Linked DNA regions of Struthio camelus. The protein of the gene in region 1 interacts with the protein of each later gene in a biochemical or structural test. Links are inferred from orthologs where the notes say so. Each region holds a gene or a part of one and is shown on either strand. Other genes may lie near its edges.

Evidence for each region.
Region 2: the proteins of RB1 (region 1) and RBBP7 form a complex in vitro, tested with the Homo sapiens proteins (3 studies listed by BioGRID). The link is inferred for Struthio camelus from reciprocal best matches to the Homo sapiens genes RB1 and RBBP7.

What each region holds. Positions count from the first base shown.
Region 1 is NC_090942.1:192,180,844-192,187,994, reverse strand, and holds the start of RB1 (retinoblastoma-associated protein), read right to left. Parts: upstream 3,006-7,151; 5' UTR 2,891-3,005; coding exon 2,775-2,890; intron 2,363-2,774; coding exon 2,245-2,362; intron 1-2,244. UniProt on the Homo sapiens protein: Tumor suppressor that is a key regulator of the G1/S transition of the cell cycle. The hypophosphorylated form binds transcription regulators of the E2F family, preventing transcription of E2F-responsive genes.
Region 2 is NC_090942.1:138,746,206-138,754,079, reverse strand, and holds the start of RBBP7 (histone-binding protein RBBP7), read right to left. Parts: upstream 3,011-7,874; 5' UTR 2,782-3,010; coding exon 2,766-2,781; intron 2,352-2,765; coding exon 2,207-2,351; intron 277-2,206; coding exon 134-276; intron 1-133. UniProt on the Homo sapiens protein: Core histone-binding subunit that may target chromatin remodeling factors, histone acetyltransferases and histone deacetylases to their histone substrates in a manner that is regulated by nucleosomal DNA.

The DNA of each region.
Region 1 (7,151 bases):
GAAAAAGTGTAACATCTTAAAGGAAAAAAATAGCAACTCAGACAGTTTTGGTGCTGTTGGTGGATTCAGTGGATGATGGCACTGAAGATTCATTTCAGAGAGCAACAGCTACCAACCCTTCTCCTCCCAACAGGAAGAGATCAACAAAAATTCTTAAAGCTGTTAAAGTCACTAAATAATCATTGAGCATGGCTATACCAGGTGTTTAGACCAAGTCTAAGACCATGTTTGCACCCTGAATCTCTGCCAGTTCGCACAATATCCTATATCCGGGACACTACATCAAGTCCCCTCCGTATCATTGGAGACAAGGCAGGGAGGATTCGGAAATGAACCAGGGAGCACAGGCCAGTGTGCCAGGGAATATGAAGCGCTCAGGTCTTCATGCTCCATAAACAGGTTGAGAATCATGACAGCTCTGCTCCATCAATGGTCTGATGGTTTAACTTTCCTAAAGTCAAAACAGATACGAGGTGAAACAGGAGTGTTCTGGCAGGCATTTGTCTAGACTTATGTCCTGCTATTTCCCTTTTCACTTCAGAACAGAAAGCAGCTATGTATGCAACTTCTCCTATTGCAGAATTAAACAGGTTAGCACTGAACAGCTGGTGCTTGCAGGCCAAACACAGGGGCAGCCCCTTTAAGCACATTATCTTTCCCCTAGAGGAGAAAGGAGTGAGTGGTTTAGGCAACCTCCTCCAGAGTCCTCACAACCTGAACCAGAAAGCCAGTCTGTCATAGCGAGAGGCCCTGCTCCCCATGACAACAGCTTGACTTGGAAAGAGAAGCAGCTATCAGCCAAGCTGTTAATTTGACTTCACACTCAAATAAGGCCTGCACTGATCTCAGCTAGAAGTAGCAACCTCAGGGCCTGCCAGGCTCCCAGAAGAGACATACGCTTGCCAGTTTCCTTATTTTGACACCCTGATGACGTGTCAGAAACTTGAGGATAGTGTCCAGGATAGGTCCAAAATATAATGCAGACTTTTTCCCTATACATTGAAAGGCTCTTAGGCTAGGCCTCAATTGTACATTAATTACAGGACAATAAATACTAGTCAAATGTCTTAATGAAGATCTAGTCATTGCCCTGTTCTGAATCCTATATGAGATCATCTTCAGATACCAAACAGGAGGGTTTCAAATGCCCTGTGTCTTATCTAGCCACTGCCAGGCAGTGAACAGTAAGTGAAATATGCACAATTATACTGAAAATTGTCTTGGCTTTCTCACTGAATAGGACTAACTACTTCTGTTTCACTTCATAGAGAAGCTTGACTATGCTTTGGAGTATATGTACCCTGAGGACACCCAAGGCCAGAAATTGTATTTGTTACTGCAAGAGCCGTACACAGTCTCTCTCCAGCACCATTACTGTACTGTGTTCTAAAACTCACAAACACATCAAGAGCTAGTATACCATACTGCAATTTTAAAAGCACAGGAAATGAGATCTGACAGATCAGTTCAAGATACAGAAGAATAAACAGAAGTCGCAACAAAGACATAGATGTTAGCCTATGCTAGACCTCAGACTAGGGCTAGTTTCCAAGCTGGGTATTTTAAACTCTAACTCAGATCTGCATAACAAAGCTTCAGTCACGATTTAATTGTACTGTAGCTGTTGTCTGAGTCAACTTATTCAGCCAGCAGTAATTCACTGAGCAAAAAAATGAAGGGAGGGCATAACATTTACACATGCCCAATGACTAACTTTGAAGATACCTCAGTCACAACTGCATCCAGATTAACATTAGCGTGCAGTGAAAAAAGAAAAGGCAGTTAAATATACCAACATCACTTTTCTGTAACACTTTTGTCCAGACCCTTTCGGCAACCTCATTAAGGGCAGTGGGTGGTGAGAAACAGATGATCTGTATAAAAATGACTCAGACATATTTGAAATAGCTTGTGGTCTGAAGAATTAAATGATCACATGGTATTGTTTTCTACTGTCATTTATTGTTAAGCTGAAAGAATTCACCATTCCCTACTTTTATTAGGCTATATTAACAAAAAGGTAAAGGTATATAAACTATTTTGTGCAGATATGTACACAGTAACATCTGACTTCAGTTAGGCTGCCCAGGGGGGTGGGGGGGGGAGGTAGGGGAGTGACACTGCACGAGCATCAGCTGCAAGTCACCAAGCCCTCAGTCAAGCAAAGCTACAGTTTAATATTTGAACTCAAATACAGGGCAGTTATTACAATATAATTATGAGCTACAGATACCAGGTACTCACTAGAGATCCATCTACAGATGATAAGCTCTCATATGTCTTCCAAGCTTTCTCTTTCACATTGTTTGATACTTTCAGAACATCACAGAGTACAACAAAGTCACTTTCTCCAATTTCAAGCCTAAGAAAAAGGGGAAAATATTACTCGTAGCATCCCAGTGCAACACACCAATTTACCGGACTACACACCTCAACAGGGGTTACAGAACATTAAAGTGCAACTCTGATGCAGCCTGACTTGACGCATCACTCTCTGGCAAGGCCATTCTGCTCTGCAAGCCACACAGGAGCTAAGGAAGAAAAATAACCCCCGGGCACGTATACAGAGAGCTCAAGACAGCACAACAACAGGCAGCCGGAGCCACGCAGATGTACAGGGAGGCACCTGAGCCACGCTAACGGCTTGCTAAAGTTTCTCTCTCCCCCCCTCCCGCCCCCACGAACGCCCCGCTGAGGAGGACGCGCTACTCGGAGCGCCAGCCCCCGCCGCTACCGCCCGACCCTCCCCGCAGCAGGTGCCCGGCGGCGCTTACCGGGGGGCGGCAGCGGCGGCGGCAGGCGGCGGCGGGGCGCTGCTGGAGCCGCTCTCCGGGCTGGCCCGCTGGCTCCTGGCGGCGGCGCCCCCCCGGCGGGGGGGCTTGGGCGGCATGGCGGCGGCGCCGCGCGCGCGAGGGCGGCCGTTGGGCCCCGCCGTTTAAACGCCCGCCGAGGGCTGCAGTAACGACCGATCGGTCGACCGACCGACGGCCGGTTCGGCGCCCCTCCCCCCTCCGCGCACAGCCGCCACTCAAACCGCGGCAACCCTCGCGTCACCGCCAGCCGCTCCGTCGTCACTTCCGGGCCGGCGGCGGCCGCCGCTCTATCCCCCCCCCTTCCTCCTCCTCCTTTCACTGCCGGGCGGCGGCGGGGACGCGCGCCTTCGAAACGCAGACCGGCACGACGACGGCGGCGGCGGTCTGCGCTCGGAAACCCGGAAGCAGAAGCCGCCCGCGCAGGGGGCTCAGCCAATGAGCGCGCTTCCTGCCTCACGCTAGCCAATAGGAGCTGCCTTTGCTTCGTGCGTCCCGGCAACTAGAGCGAGGGCTCGCCAAGGCGGGCCCCGCCCCCGCCCCGCCCCGCCGTGCCGGGTGGGGGCGGGGCGCGGCCCGCTGAGGCGGTGCCGGCCGCCCCGCAGGTACCGCAGGGGCGGGCGCGGTGGCAGCCGGCGCTCAGCCCCTGCTCGGCAGCGGGACACCGCTACAAATCCCGCCTGAAGCTTTTTTTTTTCAGCAGTTGCAGCATAACCCCTCCCTCTTTTGTCCCGTTTCTTGCTGTCTTAGGGCCGCTGCCGTCGAGGAAAACTTCCCACCTCACAAATGGCAAATCACAGGATCACAGAACGGTTGAGGTTGGAAGGGACCTCTGGAGATCATCCAGTCCAACCCCCCTCCTCAAACAGGGTCCTCTAGACCACGTTGCACAGGACCCTGTCCAGAAGGCTTTTGAATATCTCCAGTGAAGGAGACTCCACTACCTCTCTGGGCAACCTCTTCCAGTGCTCTGTCACCCTCGCAGGCAAGAAGTTCTTCCTCACGTTCAGATGGAACTGCCTGTGGTTCATTTGGTGCCCGTTGCCTCTTGTCCTGTCACTGCACACCACAGAGAAGAGTCCAGCCTCATCCTCTTGACACCCCCCCCCTTTCAGATACTTGTACACATTGATGACATCCCCTCTCAGTCTTCTCTTCTCCAGACTGAACAGGCCCAGCTCTCACAGCCTTTCCTCAGAGGAGACATGCTCCAGTCCCCTCCTCAGCTTTGGAGCCCTCCGCTGGACTCTCTCCAGTAGTGCCATGTCTCTCTCCTACTGGGGAGCCCACCACTGAAAACAGGACTCCAGGTGAGGCCTCCCCAGGGATGAGGAGAGGGGCAGGATCACCTCCCTCCACCTGCTGGCAACACTCTGCCTAATGCACCCCAGGAGACCCTTGGCCTTCTGGGCCACAGGGCCACATTGCTGCCTCATGCTGAACTTGTTGTCCACCAGCACTCCCAGGTCCTTCTCCGCAGAGCTGCTTTCCAGCAGGTCAGCCCCCAGCCCTGTCCTGGTGCATGGGGTTCTTCCTCCCCAGGTGCAGGACCCTGCACTTGCCTTTGTTGAACTTCAGGAGGTCCCTCTCCGCCCACCTCTCCAGCCTGTCCAGGTCCCTCTCAATGGCAGCACAGCCCTCTGGTGTGTCAGCCACTCCCCCCAGTTTAGTGTCATCAGCAAACTTGCTGACGGTGCACTCTGTCCCTTCCTCCAGGTCATCGATGGATACATTGAACAAGACTGGACCCAGGACTGACCCCCGGGGGACACCGCTAGCTACAGGCCTCCAACTAGACTCTGTGCCACTGAGCACAACTCTTCACGACCACGTCCTTCATGACAATCTCTGAATTGGATATTCATCCGAGTCCCACCTAAAATACTACTTTTAACAGTGTGCGTTGCAGTTATGTTTGGTTTAAAAAAAAAAAAAAAAGTCCTCAGTCTTTGATCCACGGATTTAAGAATTAACCCTGTTGTCCGCAGTCGCCCACCCGCTGGGAGATGGCCCATTTCTGCTGCCAGTTAGCACATTTTCTGTCAGGCTTCTGCGGTGGCAACTTGTTCCAAAAAGTAAAACATATTTGAGGACATGGATATGGAAGGACTCTTACATGTCTGCATTGATCATTCATCTGTAAAGCAAGCAGTTTTAAATCCAAAAGTTTAATAGCAATCTGACTAACAAAATGTGAGCACTACCAGTAAACGATTAAAAAAAAGCAGTATTTTAAGGGTCACAGGTTTTATTGATTTGCATGGCTTTTTCTTTATTAACTTTTCACTTAAAAATAGCAGAACAGGCCATTTTTCTGATTCATATTAGAATTAAACAAGTTACAGTAAAGTGAATACAGAACCAATGGGATTTCTGAGGCAAGTCAAGGTTCATAAACTTCAAATGAAATGTTTCATTCGTAAACTGCAGTAGGACATTCCTTACCATAATTCCAGCAAAACTGTAACTTTACCCTTCTAAGCATATTTAAGGAATTTCTTGTAATCAGATGACACCAGATGCTGTCAAAGGTTCAGAGGCTAGGACTACAGATGTCACCTACAGCTGAAGATTTGTAGGCAACTAGGCAGATAAGGTTAGCTAAACCTCCACGTGTGGTTAGCTAAACCTCCATGTGTGGTTAGCTAAACCACACGAGTCTCTTGCCCTTCCGTCACGACGGGCTTTATGAGCTCAAAAGAGCAAAGCAACCCGAAACGCGGTCACAGCCAGCGCAGACCCTCCCAGCTGTCCACAAGAGGAAAACCTGCCCTCCTGGGCAGCTTCCCTCCTAGCTGCTTCCACACACTTTCATAGCCAAGCCCAAGATCATCCGAGCAACGGGCAAGGAATGTGTGTTGCTCTCGTAACCCCTTGTGCGTTACCACTTGGTGAACATCGGGCCCTGTTAAAGGGCTGCCAACCAATGCCAGGGCAAATACTAACTTTCTAGAATTGTCCGTGTGTCAAACACCCTCTTGAATCAAGTTTTATGCGCCTTCTCCTCAAGCGACGAGAGCTCAGGACTCTCCATAAGCAGGAGCAACCAAAAATATCTCGTAGATGCTTAAATTTGCAGCTTATGAGAACAGGAGGAGCAGCAGCAGCAGCAGCGGGGAGGCAGCAGATGAATCAAGCTACAGTAACCTTCACTCCATCCCAGAGCCTCAGCTGTATTAACTTTACATCTAAACTGCAATAAGATCGCATGTGTACATGTATGTACCTCCTAAAAAAAGCACATGCATATGTAAGATTAGATGTAAATTGCTGCTTTTTTTTCCTTGTTAGATACATTGATTTGATAGTTTTAACCTTGGGTTTTAAGTCATTTAACCTTGTATTTTAAGTCATTTTCTTTTAAATGGAGCCTTTGGACTCTTGAATAAAATGACAAAGGAAGGAAAAAAGCAGCTCTTCTCGAAAAAAAAAAAAGTTAAAAGACTGCAAGGTCACAGCATTAATCATAATTTCTCATCTGGCCTGACAATATCTTTGTTCTAAATATCTTGCTACAACAGCTTTTAAAGAGCAGGTCATAGCCAGATGGAAGTCTGAAACATAGCCCAGTCAGGCAGCCCTGACTCATTGTTTCCAGCTGCTAAACAATCTTAAGTAATGTTATCATCTTAATTCTTTTTTTCAACTTAAAAACTGTTGCTATAGTTTCACAGTAATTGCCAGTGGGAATGGAAACCATGCGTTCATTATAAGCAAAACCAACCCTTTTTATTCTGACCCTTAATGCTCAGGCATGTTAGTAACTTGCAACTTCTTTAGTTTTCAGAAATCAAGTTTTCCCTCTACCAGAAATATTTCATTTTTATTTCATCCAACTTCATGGTCTATCAGGACTAGCTGCTTGTTTCTGCATTAGTACAGATCGACATCCACCACCTAAGCTAGAGTTCTGATAAAGTCATTTCTTCTTGGAGATACATGAAATTAATGTATTTCTACTAAAATCACTAGACTGCGATCTTCTGGATATTAGTGCTAGTATTGATTAATGACAGAATTTTTGCTTGAATAATGGCTATACAGTTAGGCTGTAAAATTCACAGATTATGAAAATATTGTTCAAGAATTATCCTAGACAAAAGCAATGGCAAATTAGAGGAAGAAAATGATTGAGATTGCATTACCTGGGGATAAATAGTGTCTTTTTTTTCCCCTAGGAAACCAAAGGGAGTTTTGCGCAGATCACAAATGGGAGAAGGAGTTTCTTGGTGCCGCGTGCGTTGTCTGCTACCAGTTGCTGCTGTGCAGCTTGCCGTTCTCCACAGGAATGGTACCCTAGCCATTTTAAATGACCTTTGGTATTTGAGAAGGCTTCAGCTT
Region 2 (7,874 bases), about 53 Mb from region 1:
GAATGATGCAGAATTAGCGTAAAGTCGTAAGTATGTCAGCTTTACTACACAAGATCAAGTTAGAATACCATTGGACAGGACATTTGTTAATACTACTGCTAGAACACCATCTAAAAACGCATGCAGAGCCCACCTCCTTTTTCACTGTCATACTGAGAAGCATCAAATTGATCATCATTGGGAATCTGGACTCTTGCAACAACCAGGTGGTTCTGTTCATCAGAGGTGTGTGTTCCCAAAACCAGCCAGTGTAGAGCATAATCCTTTCCTTCTGGCCTGTTTAGAGTAATAAAAACAGAATAAAATTAAAGAGCTCATTTCCAAAAGTTTATTGGTTAGTATCAGTAACCCTGAAGATCCAGACTTCTGCAGGAAGATTTAAAAAAGTAAAACAAAACAAACCCACAGAAAACAAAAATATTCAAGTACGAGATCCCTTGCTTTACCACAACAGACTTGTGAATTAATAAGTGAACTAAATTACCTGACATAAGCAAGCCAAGGATACATCCAGCAAGCCAAGAGTGACAATATAAGTCAACAAACACTGCCGCTATTGCTCGAATAGGATAATTAAAGTTTGCCTAGTAATTACTCCTATTTTTAATTCTCCTTGCAATCTCATAGTATCAATTTGGAAGACAAGCAATACTATGTTCTATAAAAAACAAAACCCGAGAAAAGCAGCAATCTATTTCAGTTACTTTCCTTTCAATATGCTTTTACCAGTTGGTATTTTGTTACAGTTTTCAGAAGTTGATTTTTAAACAGTGCACAAACCCTAGCTAACTATAATTAAATTCCTTTTGATGGTTAAATGCAATAGTTAGTAATAAGTGAAAGGTCAGAGAGACGGTGTCATATATCTGAGAAAGGAAAATTGGAACACGCAAATAAAAACAAGCAACTTCTGCGTTCCTGAAAGCAATAAATTAATTCTGCTATCTGAACCCAAGCAAAGAGGAAATAGGAATCACGTGGGCAATCAAAAAACATCATCAGTATTATTACACCTATTCCAGGGCATCACCATACAATTGGGGCGAGGGGGGGAAATAAAATAAAAAACACACAATGCACACACACTTACTTGTATTAGGAATAGGTGTCCCATCATGTCAGGTGCCATACAAAGAGACAGTCCTTGCCTTATATGGCTTACATATTCTGACACTGGGTAATTGGAAATATCAGGTTTTTAACTGAATATTAAGTCAATCTGCAAAATATGAGGCAAGCAGAAGTGTTCCTCATAAGGGCTCCATACCCTCAGAAAAATTCCCCATTTCATTTTCTCCATGCCATGAATAGTTAGCTCACATCTCTCCACATCTTCCCCAAACGTCCTGGCATTCAAAATTAAGTGATCACCTAACCACCACATATAACGCCACTTATGCAAGTGGAATTTTAAAGAGGAAAAAGATCATCCTCTTTTTACTGCATGAACTTTAAGGGTAAGATTTTAAAGCCAAGCTGTATCTGTGATACAGCAGCATGAGGGACCCACACCTGTCCATTAACTTTGTGGAGTCCTGAGTGATTACTCTGAGAATTTAAGTTTTCTAGTAGCTGGGACATCAAGAGAATCCATCTCTCTCTTAAAAATTCTTTAAGAAATTAACCAGCTACCCAACAAACTTTTAGGGGGAGGGAGAAGAATGGGAAAGTTAAGTTATCTGAGGTCAACGATGCCAGGGACAGAAGCAGGATATTAAGGGCCACAGTCTCTACCGAGCAACATCCCCTTAAATTTGGCCAGACCCAAAAAAAAAAAAAAAAAGTGTATCTTCTACAGAACAGTAATTGGTAATGCACATGAGGAAAAATATTATTCATGTAAAAGTTTAGTAAGTTTGTTCTTTCTCTGAATAGAAGCTACTGCAGAACAGCTAGGTCTCTTACATATCAATAAAATAAAGTAAGGAAGACTTCTTCCCTGCCGTCTCAAGGCAGATCTTGCTGTGTCAGGCTAGAGCTCTCTACAGTATCAATATGTACCTTTTTTTCCCCTTCAAAGCTTCTGTCTATCCAAAGGGTTTTGAGAGCTGTAAGTAAAATGAACTGTTACAAGCTTACTGCGAGACGAGCCTAATCCACATTATTCTAGTCTCTTGCGGTTTCACCTTCCAATTACCTAGCAGACACCGCGAAGAGCGACCGAAAGAGCGGCAGGACAAGCAAGTTCTCTCTCTCCTTCCCTCACCTGGTCACGTCAGGCAACCACTGGACGGTGAGGCTGGGCCACTCCAGGGCGTGCGTCATCACCAGGTCGTACAAGAAGGGCGTGTTCTTCTTCCAGATCTTGTACTCCTCGCTGATGACGCGCTCCTCCACCGTGTCCTCCAGCGCTGGGCGAGGGGCGGCGGGGGGGGAGAGGGGGAAAAGCCAACGGCTCAGCGCGCGCCGCGCCAGGCGGGGGCGGCGCCGCCACGCGCCGGGGGCTGCGCGGGTGGGGGTGGGGGGAGGTGCCACCGAGGTGGGGTGGGAGAGGGGCGGTGCCCGCCACGCGCCGCGGGGCTGGGCGGGGTGAAGGTGCGGAGAGGGGCCCCGAAACCCTCTTGAGGGGCAACCGGAGGCAGAGCGACAGTTACCCCCCCCCCCGCCAACACCGCCCAGCCAGAAGGCCCCCGCGAGAGAGGCCGCGGGTGCCTCCGCTCGCGCCCTCCCAGCTCACGCACGGCCGCCCCACGCAGCCCGGGCAGCAGCAGGAGGAGGAGGAGGAGGAGGAGGAGGCGGGGTGGTGGGGGGGGGTGCTCTCCTACCTTCCTTGCTCGCCATTTTGGGCGTGTGTGTGCGCGCGCAGGCGAGGTGAGGGGCAGGAGGTACCGGCTAGCGGCGGGGAAGGGGGGGAGGGGGCACAGCTCGCGCCGCAGCTGAGGACGCGGCGGCGCTGCCGCTGCCACGGCCGCGGCCGCTCCCGCGCGTCAGGCGCCCCGCCGATGCCCAACCCGCGCCTGGCGGCGGCGGCGGCGGCACCGCGCATGCGCTGCCGCCCCGCCCTCTCCGCGGCGCCCGGAACGCCGCCACCCACCGCGGCGGCCAATGGGGAGGGCGAAAGGGCTGCGCGCGCGCGCTCGCTCGCTCGCTCAACGGCTGGCGCGAGACGGGGCTGCGAGTCCGGCCGGGGCGCTCCGAGGAGGCGCCCCCTCGCTCGCCCTCCCGCCTGCGCGCGCTGAGCACACGCGTGGGGCGGGGCGGGGGTGGGCGCCCGGCGCCTAACGGTCGGAAGCGCGCGCCGGCGCTCTGCGACCCCTTGAATCCACTGCGAGGGCGGGCGGGGCGGGAGAGGGCAGGGGGCTCTTGGCGGACGGACGGCTCCCAGGGGCCCTGGGGCTTTTCGCGGCCGGCTGACACGCGCCTCCTTGTCCAGGAAAGCGCTTGGACTCGGCCCAGAGCCCGGCTCCGCGCTGGCAGCGGGCAGTCGCTACGCCCAGGCGTGCCCGTGTCACGGGCGGGTCCCCCGGCGTTACTGAGTGGGTCGCGGAGGGCGAGGAGGAGCCAGGGTTTCACGCAAGTGCGCGGCTTTTTATTCAGAAGAAGGTTAAGATTGGCGTGGACGTGTATATGCCGCGAGGTGGGGCCTTAAGTAAAATAAACCGCCGACGGTACTGCTGTGCGAGTTGGCAAACGGCTTTTGTTGCTTTTTAACCGCATTTAAAGGCGTTACAGAGCAACCTGCCAGTTCGGTTCAAAAGTTGCCTCAGAACATCTAAAACAAGCTGAGTTCATCCTGCGGAGACATATGAAAGGAGCATGCTTTAAACGCAGGGATTTGGTGTTCATGATCTGTTCACCAAGAGTTTGGAATTGCTAAAAAAATACAATTTAGAAAAAGGACATCTTGGCTGCCGAAAAGCCCCTATACCGAGCTGTTCAGAGTCATGCATAATGCAGAGTAAGCACGGTAGACCTCCCGTTTAATAATAGGTTTCGCCACTCGGACAATACCCCGAGGGGACGCCTGGCGCACAGTTTTGAGAGCCACGCGGTACCCCTGCAGTAATTGCAGGCACAATTACTGCAAAGAGCACAAGCACCTTCCCTTTTGATAACAGAAGAACGAGCGTGGGTATTGCCAGAAATCAAAATGGGAAGCACTCCCCTCAGTAGCGCTGTAGAGGATCAAAGTACCCAAGTATTATTCACAAACGTGATTTACACTGATCTTCCGAGGAGAGGGGTAAACTAAAAATTCGAAATTCTGGAAGTATTAAAATCCGTACAGCACTCAAGAGTAGATGAGGAATGAAAAGACTATTATGGCTCTCTTCTTTATACTACCTTATTTGTTACTGCAACGCTAAGGCAGAGTTACCAAGTGCGTAATCGCTGATTGCACATGGGAAGTAGGAATTGGGAAACAGAAGTGATAATGGTACTTAACTCATTTGTCAGTTTTCATGAATGCAACTCTGCACAGATCCGGAAAGGAGGAACAGTGCAGTGAACGAGAAGAAAAATGAAAACAAATGGACTCTTTCTAAAGAAATACCCAAAATACAAGATATTCCCTTTTACCAATCAGAAACGGTAATCTAGTCATAAAAGGGGAAAAAACAGCCGACATATTTAACATAAGTTAAAAAACAATCTCAGCCGGAATGAAAACCAGACATTAGTCTTATGTAAGCCAACAGAGGTAGCTGAAATCGGGAAGCCACGGGATTAGAGGGCATAAAGAAGAAGAAGGGAAAGACGCGGGGTGGGGGGGGAGATGTGCAAGACTGCGGTGTGCAGTTCGGCGGGCCGAGCAGGAGGTGGCACTACTGTCACACCGGGCAGCCGCATGCGGGCTGCAGAGCCAGGCGAGGAAGGAGGTGGTCTCAACTCCCTGCACAAGAAGCAGGATCTGACCGCGGAAGTTTCTTTGCTCGGTGTCGGTTACACCCTATTCTGGTCCATGCTCCAGGATGTATGTCTATTTGGGGCGATGGTAGTAAAGCGAAAATTTCTTGGAGATCCAGCAACTATCAGGCGGCCTCTATACATTTGAAACAAACTTAGGTGCAACAGCAAAGAATGGTGGTTGACGTCATTTAGTATGTCTTAACTAATAAGCCCTAAATTGCACTACAAACTCAGATACTAAGCCCACTTCACAGCTCAGAAAATATACGTAAAAATGGCTATAGAGACCACTGCTAAATAGTTACTATTTTTCAACAATGGCGCCTGAAGATATGTTTTTTTTATTTTGCTGCAAGAAATACCTGTTTGAAAGTTTGCTGAGTTGCAATAAAGGCATGCCAATAAACTAAGCCGCATTCTTGACTTCCCACTCACATAATATCAGTCAGGATTACAGAAGTTTTAAATCCTACAGCTGTCTGTTAGGGTCAGAAGTATTGTCTGTGGTGAGTGACACAGCTTCTTTTAAGCAGTCACATACAAATCAAATGTATGGCTTTGCCAGGACATGCCCAACCTTTCTAGTCTCTTCTCTTGTTTCAGCGAGTACTAACCAAAAGGCCATTTCATTTAACTGCTTTCTATTAAGCTTGAATAAACAGCACTTGGCATATAAAATAGCCTTAACCAGAGCAGATCTTGAGGGCAGTTAATAGCACCTTCCAACAGAATAATGGAAATAGAGGCAGTTAGGAATCAGGCTAAATTCTCCCAAATGCCCCTAAAAAATCAGAGGAACGTTCTGCTTCCACATTGCATGAGTTCTTTTATCATGTGGTGACTTAAAGTCTTTAGATCAGTGCTTTGATATTAAACTCAGGAAGCAGAATCCTATATTGGTAAGGCCTTGAGCCCCAGAAGGGGCTGAAATTAGCTCTGTAGCGGAGATCATTGTGCTCAGCTAGCGATATTGTGGCAAGAGAGAAGGCTTACTTGCACAGCCAAGTAAGAGCCAGGATTTTTATATTCACTCTGTGAGGAACTCCTCATGGACTGAGCCCTCTATAGTCTGGACTCCAGTGTTTCAAAGAAGGAATCCAGTTATGGAAAATGTTTATGTCTAGGAGAGGCTGGGGAGCGCAGAGGCTAGTAACAGCAGCCAAAGGTTGTAGCATGGGAATTGAAGGAGAAGGCTGGAGTAGACAGCCAGCTCCTTGAACAGGAAGCGTTTGTAATGAACCGTTCCTTTATGGGCCAAAGTGCTGAAAAACAGAAATGTTCTGGTGAAGAAGCCAAATAACCATATACTAATCTTCTTGAACCTGCACAAATTGGAATTAAAGCTATGTATGGCTTACTTATTGAAAATGAGAATTCTGTTGAATTAATTGGAAGCTGCAGAATAATCTGCTACATAGGAATGCACTAGTGAGTATGTTAACACAGACATAGGACCTTGATCGTACAAGGTGAGTTACCAACTTGCTTTTGGCAACACTTATTAGTTGTTTTGATATCTGCTGCCAAGTATGTGTCTAAACCTACAAAGTGCTGAGGCCTTCCTGAAATGCTGGGAGGGTGAAGATTGAGCTTTTCAGAGCCTGTGTGGTGGTGCAGAGTGCTGATCTGTTAAAACTCAGATACTGAATAAAGGAAATCTCTGTCAGGCTTCTTGGCTCTAAGTGAGTTCTGTTAGCTCTTGATGAAATTTAATTACATGGCCCCTTGAAGGATCAAGCCGATCTGAGCATTGGGTGGGATATTGTGTGTGCATTTGGCTGTGAACAGCAGTGGTTTTCCACCACGGCTTACCTGGAATATAATTGGCAAAGTGTGATTTATTTTTGGAGAAAGGTAGACAAAATTGTCTTTCAGTGATGTAATGTAGGGCTTGATTAAACTCTAAATTAAGAGAGGAAAGTTCCCCCTTCCCCCTCCCCCCCCCACCAGTTTTGGAAGACTCAGTTGTTTAGACTCTGCAAGTCAAGTTGCATTTTAGTGGACTGTGAGGAGCAGTACCAGTTTTGATGAAAAAAATCTGTTACACCTATTTGTCAAAATAGTCCCTAAGTGACCTGTGCAATTATCTTCTCCTTTGTTAGCAACTATACTTGCACACAGCCAAATTTTCTTTTAATTTATATGCAAACACACCAACAATCTTGCTATTAAGTGCTTTTCGCCTATCAAGATTGCTATGGAAAAGACAGTTTATAAACATTACAACTATCCAAGAATGCATATCAGCCACTTAAGGCTGGCTATTTGGGGTTCACCAGCAAGGTGATATCTGTGACCAAACATTTAAAACATGTCCTTTGATTCCAGCACTTTATAAGGAAAATAATTATCAAAGGCCACTGTTCATCACATGCAGTTTGTGTGAAATGGATGATAAATTAGTTGTGACGTACAACAGTGACTTGAATGATAAGCTTTATTTTATTAAGCTATACTGCTTTCACACCTAAGCATGAAATATTGTGTTTTCATTTCAGTAAAAAAAAAAAAAGAAAAAACCCACTATCTTCTGCATCCTTGATTGTATGTTCTGCATTGTGCATCAAATTGCCAGATATCCTTGTGAGGAATTATCTGCATTTACTAATTTCCAGCTCAAAGACGTGCGCTGATTTATTACTCTGCAAAGAATTAGCTGGCTTGCTGATGCTTACAGCTTATACATTATGCAGAGCAGATGAAGGTTCATAACGACAACTCAGCAAGTAGATGTAGGTATTACCATAAATGACCATCTCAGTTAGAAAATTCTTTGAAGGCAATCAAGTTTGCACAAAACCTCAGAAGTGCACACCGAAAAAGTAAAAGAGCAGCCGCAGCATTTAGTATTCTCTAATATTTACTATCATTGCTTAGTCTTCAGGGTTTGCTTGGAATAAAGCATTGTTTTCGTCAAATATGCAGATAAGCAAAGCATACCTCAGATAAATTGATGCAACTATCCATCCAGAAGTTCCTGAAATGTGACTGCATCCTTTTTCCCACTGTTCATCCCAATATTT